Xenopus tropicalis: one gene and its partner. The protein of the gene in region 2 purifies or fractionates together with the protein of the main gene of each other region. This does not show direct contact. Links are inferred from orthologs where the notes say so. Each region holds a gene or a part of one and is shown on either strand. Other genes may lie near its edges.

Region 1 (4,764 bases), on a different chromosome or scaffold from region 2:
AACAGCTTTTCTCACAACATTATTGTGTTGCTGAGAATCTGCTGCCACATTTATCAACAAACCATAATGTAGGTTTGCCCCCTGTGGAGAAACTGTTCTAACAAACTGATTATAACAGAAATTAGAAAAAAAAAAAAAAAAAGAATACATAGAAAAACATTCTCCAGGGAACAACTAACTAGTCACATCGTATATCAAACAAATGACAATGTATCAAACTTGAGTATCTGGAAAAAAATTATAGGTCAACAAGGAGTATACATGTAATCATAGATGTGGAGGCCAGATAAGAAACCTAATGAAGAACAGACTGAACTAGTTAACATGCTGTGTATTGATGAGTTAGCCAACATACTGTATATTGAAAGAGCATATTAGCTGGCTTCATCTGTTTTTGTAACCTTGCTTTCAACACGAATATAATGCATTTCTGCAAAAATTTGGTGAACAACTGTTCAGCTCTTTCTCACCTTTTCAGCTGCAGCATTTTCTCCTCCAACAAAGAAGTCAGTCTTGCGCCTCAGAAAACTGAAGAATGTGTTTACCAACTTTAGAGGGAGAGAAAAAAAACAAAGAAATTAGATCTGCAATAAAGGAAGATGATTTGAAAATCTAAAGGTCCCCATACACGGTAAGATCCGCTCGCTTGGCGAGATCGCCAAGCGAGCGGATCTTCCCCCGATATCCCCACGGGTGGGCGATATTGGGGAGCTTGAAGTTAAAAAAAAATAATAATAATAATTATGTAGGCGGCAATGGGGCAGTCGGTTCGGGGACCGCATCAACGAGCCGATGCGGTCCCCGATCTGACTGGATTTTCTAACCCGGCCGGTCGATATCTGCCCAATTTCAGGCCAGATATCGGTCGGCCAGCCCGCTCGTTTCTGCCCCTACACAGGCAGATAAGCTGCAGAGTCTGTCCAAGGGACCGATATCGGCAGCTTCTATCGGCCTGTGTATGGGGGCCTTAACTTGCGTGCCATTGAATATATGAGTTTGCACACCATACTCAGCCATGAACTATATACAGCATACAAAAATACCCAGATGTTGGTGAAACACAACATGAACAACAAATAACAGGGCCTATGTCAGGGATATCCTGTATCTTTCTAAAGTTGCTACATTCCTTCTAAAGCGAAAGATTTACACTAAAAAAGCAGCCTCTATTATGTTTAACAGCCAAATATCTTGTTTATTAAAAGGGAAATTTGTTTTTTCTAATGCAGAGAGAACAATAGCGATCTCTGCACTAGCGATGTAGCACCCCATTGACCCTCTCAGACACCAAGGAGGTAAGTGCAGAGCGTGTTAGTGGCAGGAGCAGAATCAGCAACTGCGCTGCACATCAAAGGAGATTATTTTCTGTAAATGGGCCAAGGAAGAGGCTGGAAAACCTGGTAGAATCTCATTGCAATGGTCAGCAGTTCTATTGTAGGAGCAAAAAAAAAGTGGGAAAGTGCAGGGATTGGCATGGCAGAGAAGGAGCGATTGGAGAGGTGTATTAGCCTGGCAGCAGTATTCATTATGGACTGGAGTGGGGACAGTCTTTGGAGGGGAAGGCCAATTAACAGGGAGTTACAGTAGTCCAGGCGAGATATTATAAGAGAGTGAATAAGAATTTTGGCAGCATCTTGGGTGATAAATGATCGTATTTTGGAAATATTTCTTAGGTGAAAGTGACATGATTTGGTAAGTGATTGGATATGAGGAGTGAAGGAGAGGGCAGAATCAAGGATAACCCCAAGGCACCGGGCCTGGGAAGATGGGGTGATGGTAGAATTGTTAACCGTTACAGATACCTCGGGAACAATGTGGGCGTTGGATGGGGGAAAGAGAACCAATTCAGTCTTAGAGAGGTTTAATTTAAGGTAATGTTTGGACATCCAAGCGGACAGGCAGGAAGAGACGCGAGTTAGAAGCTCTGGGTTGAGATCAGGAGAGGAAAGAGAGGTGGTACTGAAAGCCACAAGAATTGATTAATTTGCCAAGTGAGGAGGTATAGAGAGAAAATAGTAAGGGGCCCAGGACAGAGCCTTGGGGAACCCCGACAGAAAGAGGCAAGGGAGAAGATGATTCCCCATTGTAAGAGACACTGAAGGATCGATCTGAGAGATAAGATGAAAACCAGGATAAGGCTGTGTCACGAAGGCCAAGAGAGCGGAGAGTCTGGAGGAGAAGAGGGTGATCCACAGTGTCAAAAGCAGCAGAGAGATCGAGAAGTATTAGTAGCGAGTAGTGTTCTTTGGCTTTAGCCGATAGGAGGTAATTTGTTCGTTGGGTTAGAGCAGTTTCGGTGGAGTGTTGTTATCTAAAACCAGATTGTAGGGGATCCAGGAGGTTATTGTCAGAGAGGAATAGCGTCAGTCGGTTGTAGACTAGGCGCTCAAGCAGTTTGGAGATGAATGGGAGCAGAGAGATAGGTCGGAGGTTAGTAGGATTGAAGGGATCAAGGGAGGGTTTTTTCAGAATAGGGGTTACAAGTGCATGTTTCAGTTGGGAGGGAAAGATTCCAGTAAAGAGTGAGAGATTGAATAGATGAGTTAAGGCTTTGATAAGACAGGGGTTGGCATTACGTAGAAGTTTGGTAGGAATGGGATCAAGCAGGCAGGTAGTAAGGTCAGAGGAAGACAACAGTTTTGAGACTTCCTCTTCAGTGAGTAAGATCAAATCCAATTTCTGGTATATTTCCCTAAGGAACAGCAATATTTAAGCCCTACAACATGAAGGGTGTGCAGGAAAGCTACATTTAAAAGAAAAAAAACGCACGCAATAGTTATGCCTTGGCCAACTTTTGCAGCATTTAAAGCGACTTGAACATATTTTGACTTCTGTAACAACTGTGATTTTGAAAAATATAAATTAAAACACAGGGATTACCATTGCCTTAAATAATTTCTCACCTCTTGCACTCCTCCTTCATGTTGCTGGGCCATAGCCAACAACATTGCATCAAATCGTTCATCCTCTCCGGAGGCCGCCATGCTGCTCAGTTCGCCAGATGCTGCACTGCTACCGGGTCTTACGCTAACCCCGCCCCTTCCAGGAGCTTATAACCAATCAGCGAAAAGAAATCTACACTGCTAGAGTTGCTATAGCAACATTAATCAAGCTACACGATGGTTCTGGAATATATGGCGTTTTAGAGATAGGGCACCAGTCGAGCATGCGCAACAAACAACATGTACCGAATACCAGAGTTGGGACACGTTTTATAATTTATTGTAATATGTTACTTTTTGCCGATTATATACTAAGTCCATTGTAGTTTTTAACCACTCCACGTGGTGACGTGCCGGTAAACTAGGTGTAGTTTTCCTCTTCTAAGATGGCGGGGCGTTATGGACTGTAATTTCCTGTAGCAAGATGGTGGAAAGTAAAGACCGGAACTACCCCACTGCCAAGATGACGGATCCAAGTGGTGCTTCAGTTGTTTTTGTTGTGTATGGAATTCCTCGTTCGTTCCGCTCTGCCCAGCTTCGCCACTATTTCAGTCAGTTCACAGAGAGCGATGGCTTTGTGTGTTTTCATTTCAGGCACCGACCAGAGCGGCGGGGAGAGAATTCGGGTACTTGCTGTTGTCCGGTTACCGTCAAACCGGAGCGATCCCGCAGTTTCCTGGAAATGTACAATATGAAACCGTGGCTGGATAAGGAAGGAAATCAAGTCCCTGGTAGATGCTTGGTTCGGAAAGTTCGTGTTGGTCCGATGGAAGGTACAAATAAACAAGTTAGGGTACCCCCGTGATTGATTTAGGGGCCTGAGCAACTGGGTGATATTGAACGATTGGAAATGTCTGTTTTCATACCATTGTGTTGACTTTTGCTTTCACTCGCTCTCAAGTCAACCATTATCACTGTAATAACATACAGTACTTTTGTGAAACATTGTCATATTTCCACAAGGAGACTTGTCTTTTTTTTTCCCAGACTTGACTAAAATTCACTCACTATTTTCTGGCACAAATGAATGTGTTTCATTGTTAATTCTGCCCCCTAGAGTATATTTTGTGGTGGGTGTAGGACTGTGTACCCTCTTTAAGTTTTACTATCTTCCATATGTGTCATTTCTTGGTGATTTTTCGATTTTTTAAATGTTGTCATTGGCATTACAGTTTTTGAATCTGCCCATGCAGAAGCTATTTTAAATGTAGACTGGCAGCTTTGCCATGGGATGAACCAGTCGTCTCTGTTCTGGCAGCGCTCCTGCAGAACACATCACACATGAGTGAAAGGTTGTCAGATTTTTTTTTTCAGTTCAAGACTCCTTGGAGGTATAACCTTTGGTCAGGGCCCTGCTCATAAAAATGTTTTAGATAAATTAAAATATCAGTGCATCAGGCATTCAGCCACTGTTCCAGGCATATTTAGATAGCAAGTAAGTTTTATTTATCCATATCTCACCCTAAGGGCAGTGACATACGGGGAGATTAGTCGCCCCGCAACAAATCTTCGTTACCGTGGGCGACTAATCTCTAAAGGTGGCCATACACGTAGCAATTTCAATGATCGCACGAAAGTTCTTTCCCACTCTCCACAGACCTTCAGGACTGAATCATCAGATATGGTAAAAACAATAGAAATTCTACTTCCTTCTGCCGATTCAGCCCTGAACGTAAATTTTCCGTTATCGGTCGCCTTCAATGGCGCACAATCAATAACTTTTAATCAGCCTTTTGCGATATCGGTCGCCTCGTCAAGCCGCCATACACGCACTAAATATTGTATGAAAGAAGGTTTTGTGCAATATCATCGGTACGTGTAT
Region 2 (4,324 bases):
AAAAGCACTTGCATCGGGCACATGCATGCACTTTGCATCTCACGCTGGATTAAAAATCCCTCCAGAGGTGCAGCTGCAGCGCATGGCAATCCAGTTTTTAGGATTCCTTTTAACACTGCACCCACAGCCACTCTATAACATCCAAACATGTAAATTATGTAGTGTACAAGTTAGGGGGCGGTAGACCCTCCATTCAGCAGTGTTGTATTCAGTAGGTGAGTTCAGGCCCTTGTGCTTCATTCTGTCCTTATCCTTGTACACCTATAGGCAGGGTGTTAGGCTGATGCCAGACGTGCCAGAATACGCTCGGGTGCAGGCACATGTAGCCGATATACGCATGAAAACGCGAGACTTTGCATTCTCACGCGTTTTCATGCGTATATCGGCTACATGTGCCTGCACCCGAGCGTATCTCATTCAATCTGAAAGCATTTTTCCGCTTGCCGAAAATATCAGCCCTACGTCTCGTGTGGCATCAGCCTTAAATGCAAAAAAACATGGTGGCTTGCACCTCTATTTTTAACTTGCATCCTGCCCTGCTGTGAGTAAAGAAGCTCACTGATTGTATAGGAGCAGGCACTCAATGAGCAATCATCCGCACATGCATGTAAAATCCAAAGCTGCCATTTTTTGTACAAACAGAAGCAGCCTTATGTATTTAATCATAAGCCTATGACTAAGGGGCACATTTACTAACCCAGAACGGGGCGAATGCGTCCGATTGCGTTTTTTTCGTAATGATCGGTATTTTGCGATTTTTTCGGAAAATTGTCTCGACTTTTTAGTTACCAATACGATTTGCGCGAAAAAACGCGAGTTTTTCATAGCCATTCCAAAAGTTGCGCAAAATGTTGCGATTTTTTCGTAGCGTTCGGATTCATTCAAGCTTCAGTATGGTGACTTTTCTTGGGCCAGGTTGGAGCTGCAGGGTGCCATTGAGTCCTATGGGAGGCTTCCAAAATCATGCTAAGTCTGAAAGTTTCGGCTGCCGCTTACGAACGCTCAATACGAAAAAGTCGCGACAAGATATGAGCGAATCGTAATGGCTACGAAAAACTCGCCTTTTTTCGCGATAATCGTATTGGTAACTAAAAAGTCACGACAATTTCCGAAAAGTCGTAAAGGCGCCGAAAAAAACCGCAAAAAATACGAAAAAGACGCAAAATGTTCGTTTTCCAATCGGAATTTTTCCAATTCGGATTCGAATTCGTGTCTTAGTAAATCAGCCCCTATGTGTTAATATAACACAAAACATATAAGGCTGGCCCTGTCTTACAAGCTTGTTTGGAGGATTGCTCAGTGAGTGCCTGCTCCTACACAGTTGGTTGATTCTGCTTCCCTAACTGAAGACTAAAGGTGCCCATACATGTGAAGGTGAGGTCGCCAAGAGAGCGGATCTTCCCACCTATGGGTATGCGATATCGGGGAAAAAGTAGGTTAATTCGCCCCCCCCCCCCCAGGGCCAAACGATCAAATTATAATGGTGGCAATGGGGCAATTGGTTTGGGGAACGCATCAGCTCGATCCGACTTAATCTTTTAACCTGCCCGATCAATATCTGGCCAATTTCAGGGCAGTCAGGCATGTTCCTCGTTCCTGCCCCTACACGGGCCGATAAGCTGCCAAATCGGTCCAAGGGACCGATATCGGCAGCTACAATCGGCCCGTGTATAGACACCTTTAGAGTGGTGCACCTGAGCCCTCTTTTGACTGGTTATTCTGTTGGGACTATTACCATCTTTTTTTTATCAGCATTGTCTTACAAAATGCTGTATATATGTGCTTATGTATGAATCTCCTGAACCTAAGCTATGTTATAATTTTATTTTTAGGATAAATTTCCTGGCATGGATTACGGCCTAAGGGTGAGACCGATCAGCCCAGCCTCCACAAGGAGGTGAGAGCAATTGTTTATTTTATTTCCAATACCCCCGGCCATGCTGGTGCAGGTTCATGCAACTTTAAAGTCATCATGTAATTATTGTAATACTAATTTTGTAGGTTATGTTAAATATTCTCTCTCTTTTTGTGCCCTAGTATCACAGGGTTCCGTAAAAGACTGGGAATTTTAAAGTGTTTAAAATTGTTGACTTGACAATGTAGCTGGAATCATTATTACTGAGGGTGATGTAAAGCAAACCCATTTGTCAAGTTGTTTCACATCTTATTTTAGCTGCTCTAAGGGTAATGCGCATGGCGAGATTTGTTTCCTCAGCAACAAATCTTCTGAATATGTTTTCCCACTACCAATAATGTCAGTCACCAGTGGGAAAACAAAAAAAGTTTCTTATAAATGCTTTTTCCTCTGTGTAATTTCCTGAGTTTGTTTTAAGAGTGTACATTTCCTTTAATCAAATTAGAGAACAAACCACCATTAACTGCTTTCTACACATAATCCTCTAACCGCTGTTCTTACCATTTACATGTAACAGCCCATAAATGAACAGACTTCAGTTTCTCCTGTAGTTCTTTAGGCAAAACCTTATATATATATGATATAGTATAGTAGATATAGTAGATATAGTAGATAAGTAGATGACATCTACTATAATCTACCTTTCCATCTTTCTAATTAATGAATACATACAAGGCAAGTTGATAACAAGTTGTTTATCAACCCCTTCTCCTTATAAATTGTAAAATCTATTGGCACTGCCCTCCTCACCTCTTGTATCAATTATTGGTTGCTTTATATGTTACTCTGTATGTCCAGTGTATAAACCCACTTATTGTACTGCGCTGTGGAATATGTTGGCGCTTTATAAATACATGTTAATAATAATAATAATAATAATACCAGACAGCATTTAGCTATTCCTCAGAAACAATTTTCATACTTTTCATTTAACCCAAGGCCCATATTTAGCCCATTTGAGAAACAAATCAATCAGTGTAGTTATTTTGCGGACAAACCACCATGTATATTTCTCTGCATTTATTCTTTTTTGTGATGGTCACTTAATGCAAGCAAGAATACAATACAGAGGAATAGCATTGTGGTGTGCCTACAAAATAAGCAACATGTACTGACAATATGCTGAATAAAATGACCTGCATGCTTTACCATGCACAATTGAGTATTCAATGTAAAGTGCAAATCAGGATCAGAATATAAATATCAGTCAGTTGGCTGGCTACATGGCCTGCAAGTCTAGCAAACAACAGTAATGGCTTTTGCTATGCATGTGCAGGAGTGTTAATCATCTCGTTTTCGTGTCAGCTTTTCAGATGAAGATGATGACTATGATGATGTTGACATGTAAGTTTTTTGAAGTCAAAGATAAGACAGGTGTATGTGGGCACCACAGGCTCATTCTATGATGGCAGCATATCTAGTTATTCTGGTATTAGGCTTACCACAGAATAGTTTAATGTGCTTTTTTAACCCAATGAAATAAAGCTAATTTATTTGGGTCTGGACATTTGGACAGCTGAGTGATCCAGTCAAATCACTCAACATGAGAAAAAGCGGAAGGGCCTTTACCCCCCACATGTGCATCCAAACAGGCAAGTCAAAGCAATGACCCTACAGAAGGGCTTGTCTTTTTAGTTTTTAATTTAAAGTATCAATAGCTTTCCATATAAATATACAGATTAAGCAGGCTGTGCATTGGTTTATACTGTCTGCCGGTGTGGCCACTTATGACAGTTTTTGTATGTCTGGCTGTCACTAAATTCATCTTTAAATCGGCTCCCTAGACCCCCCGGATGACTGATTACTGGCCTGGAGGACAAACAGTCGGATCAGCCCAAATTGGCCACCACTTGGGTAGACAAATCAGACACCAATAAAGAGGATCTGTCTATTTAGTGCCAGATTTATACATGGTTCTTAACATACTGGCTCATTGTTTATGTAATATATTTGTATTTACTCACCATTATATTAACATACTTAGCTGTCGAATTAATGGGAAAGCTATATTATACTGATATTTATGCCAGGTTTGTATTAACAGAATGTATATTGAGATTGTTATTGAAATAAAAACTTACCCTTGATCACATTATTTTTTTTACTAGCCCTCAAAATGTTGATCAAAGCAACGATACATCACCCACAGGGGATTCCCCTCCTCCACTGCCCCCCAAGGTGAGACTTGTAATCCCTTGAGTCTTCTTATTCTTAAAGAAGACCTATCATCAAAATAACATTATGATATATACTTCATCACATGGGAAAAAAACTTTTCACAATATATTCAATTCTTTACTGTTTACTGTTTCTGAAATAATCAAGTTCTTCACTATCCCTCCTGCAGCAATCTCTCTCTCTGCATGCAACTTTGTCTCAGAGACATTTTGTTAAGGACAGTTAACTAAT

The links. The genes of interacting proteins can lie anywhere in the genome.
Region 1: the proteins of map4k1 (region 2) and nudc purify together in Homo sapiens (affinity purification with mass spectrometry; 3 studies listed by BioGRID and IntAct, with this or other methods). This does not show direct contact. The link is inferred for Xenopus tropicalis from reciprocal best matches to the Homo sapiens genes MAP4K1 and NUDC.

What each region holds. Positions count from the first base shown.
Region 1 is NC_030678.2:77,784,666-77,789,429, reverse strand, and holds the start of nudc (nuclear migration protein nudC), read right to left. Parts: upstream 2,997-4,764; 5' UTR 2,985-2,996; coding exon 2,904-2,984; intron 549-2,903; coding exon 471-548; intron 1-470. Other genes in the region: gpatch3 (G patch domain-containing protein 3), read left to right, coding at 3,406-3,715. UniProt on the Homo sapiens protein: Plays a role in neurogenesis and neuronal migration. Necessary for correct formation of mitotic spindles and chromosome separation during mitosis. Necessary for cytokinesis and cell proliferation.
Region 2 is NC_030684.2:80,423,329-80,427,652, reverse strand, and holds part of map4k1 (mitogen-activated protein kinase kinase kinase kinase 1), read left to right. Parts: intron 1-1,832; coding exon 1,833-1,897; intron 1,898-3,220; coding exon 3,221-3,259; intron 3,260-4,023; coding exon 4,024-4,093; intron 4,094-4,324. UniProt on the Homo sapiens protein: Serine/threonine-protein kinase, which plays a role in the response to environmental stress. Appears to act upstream of the JUN N-terminal pathway.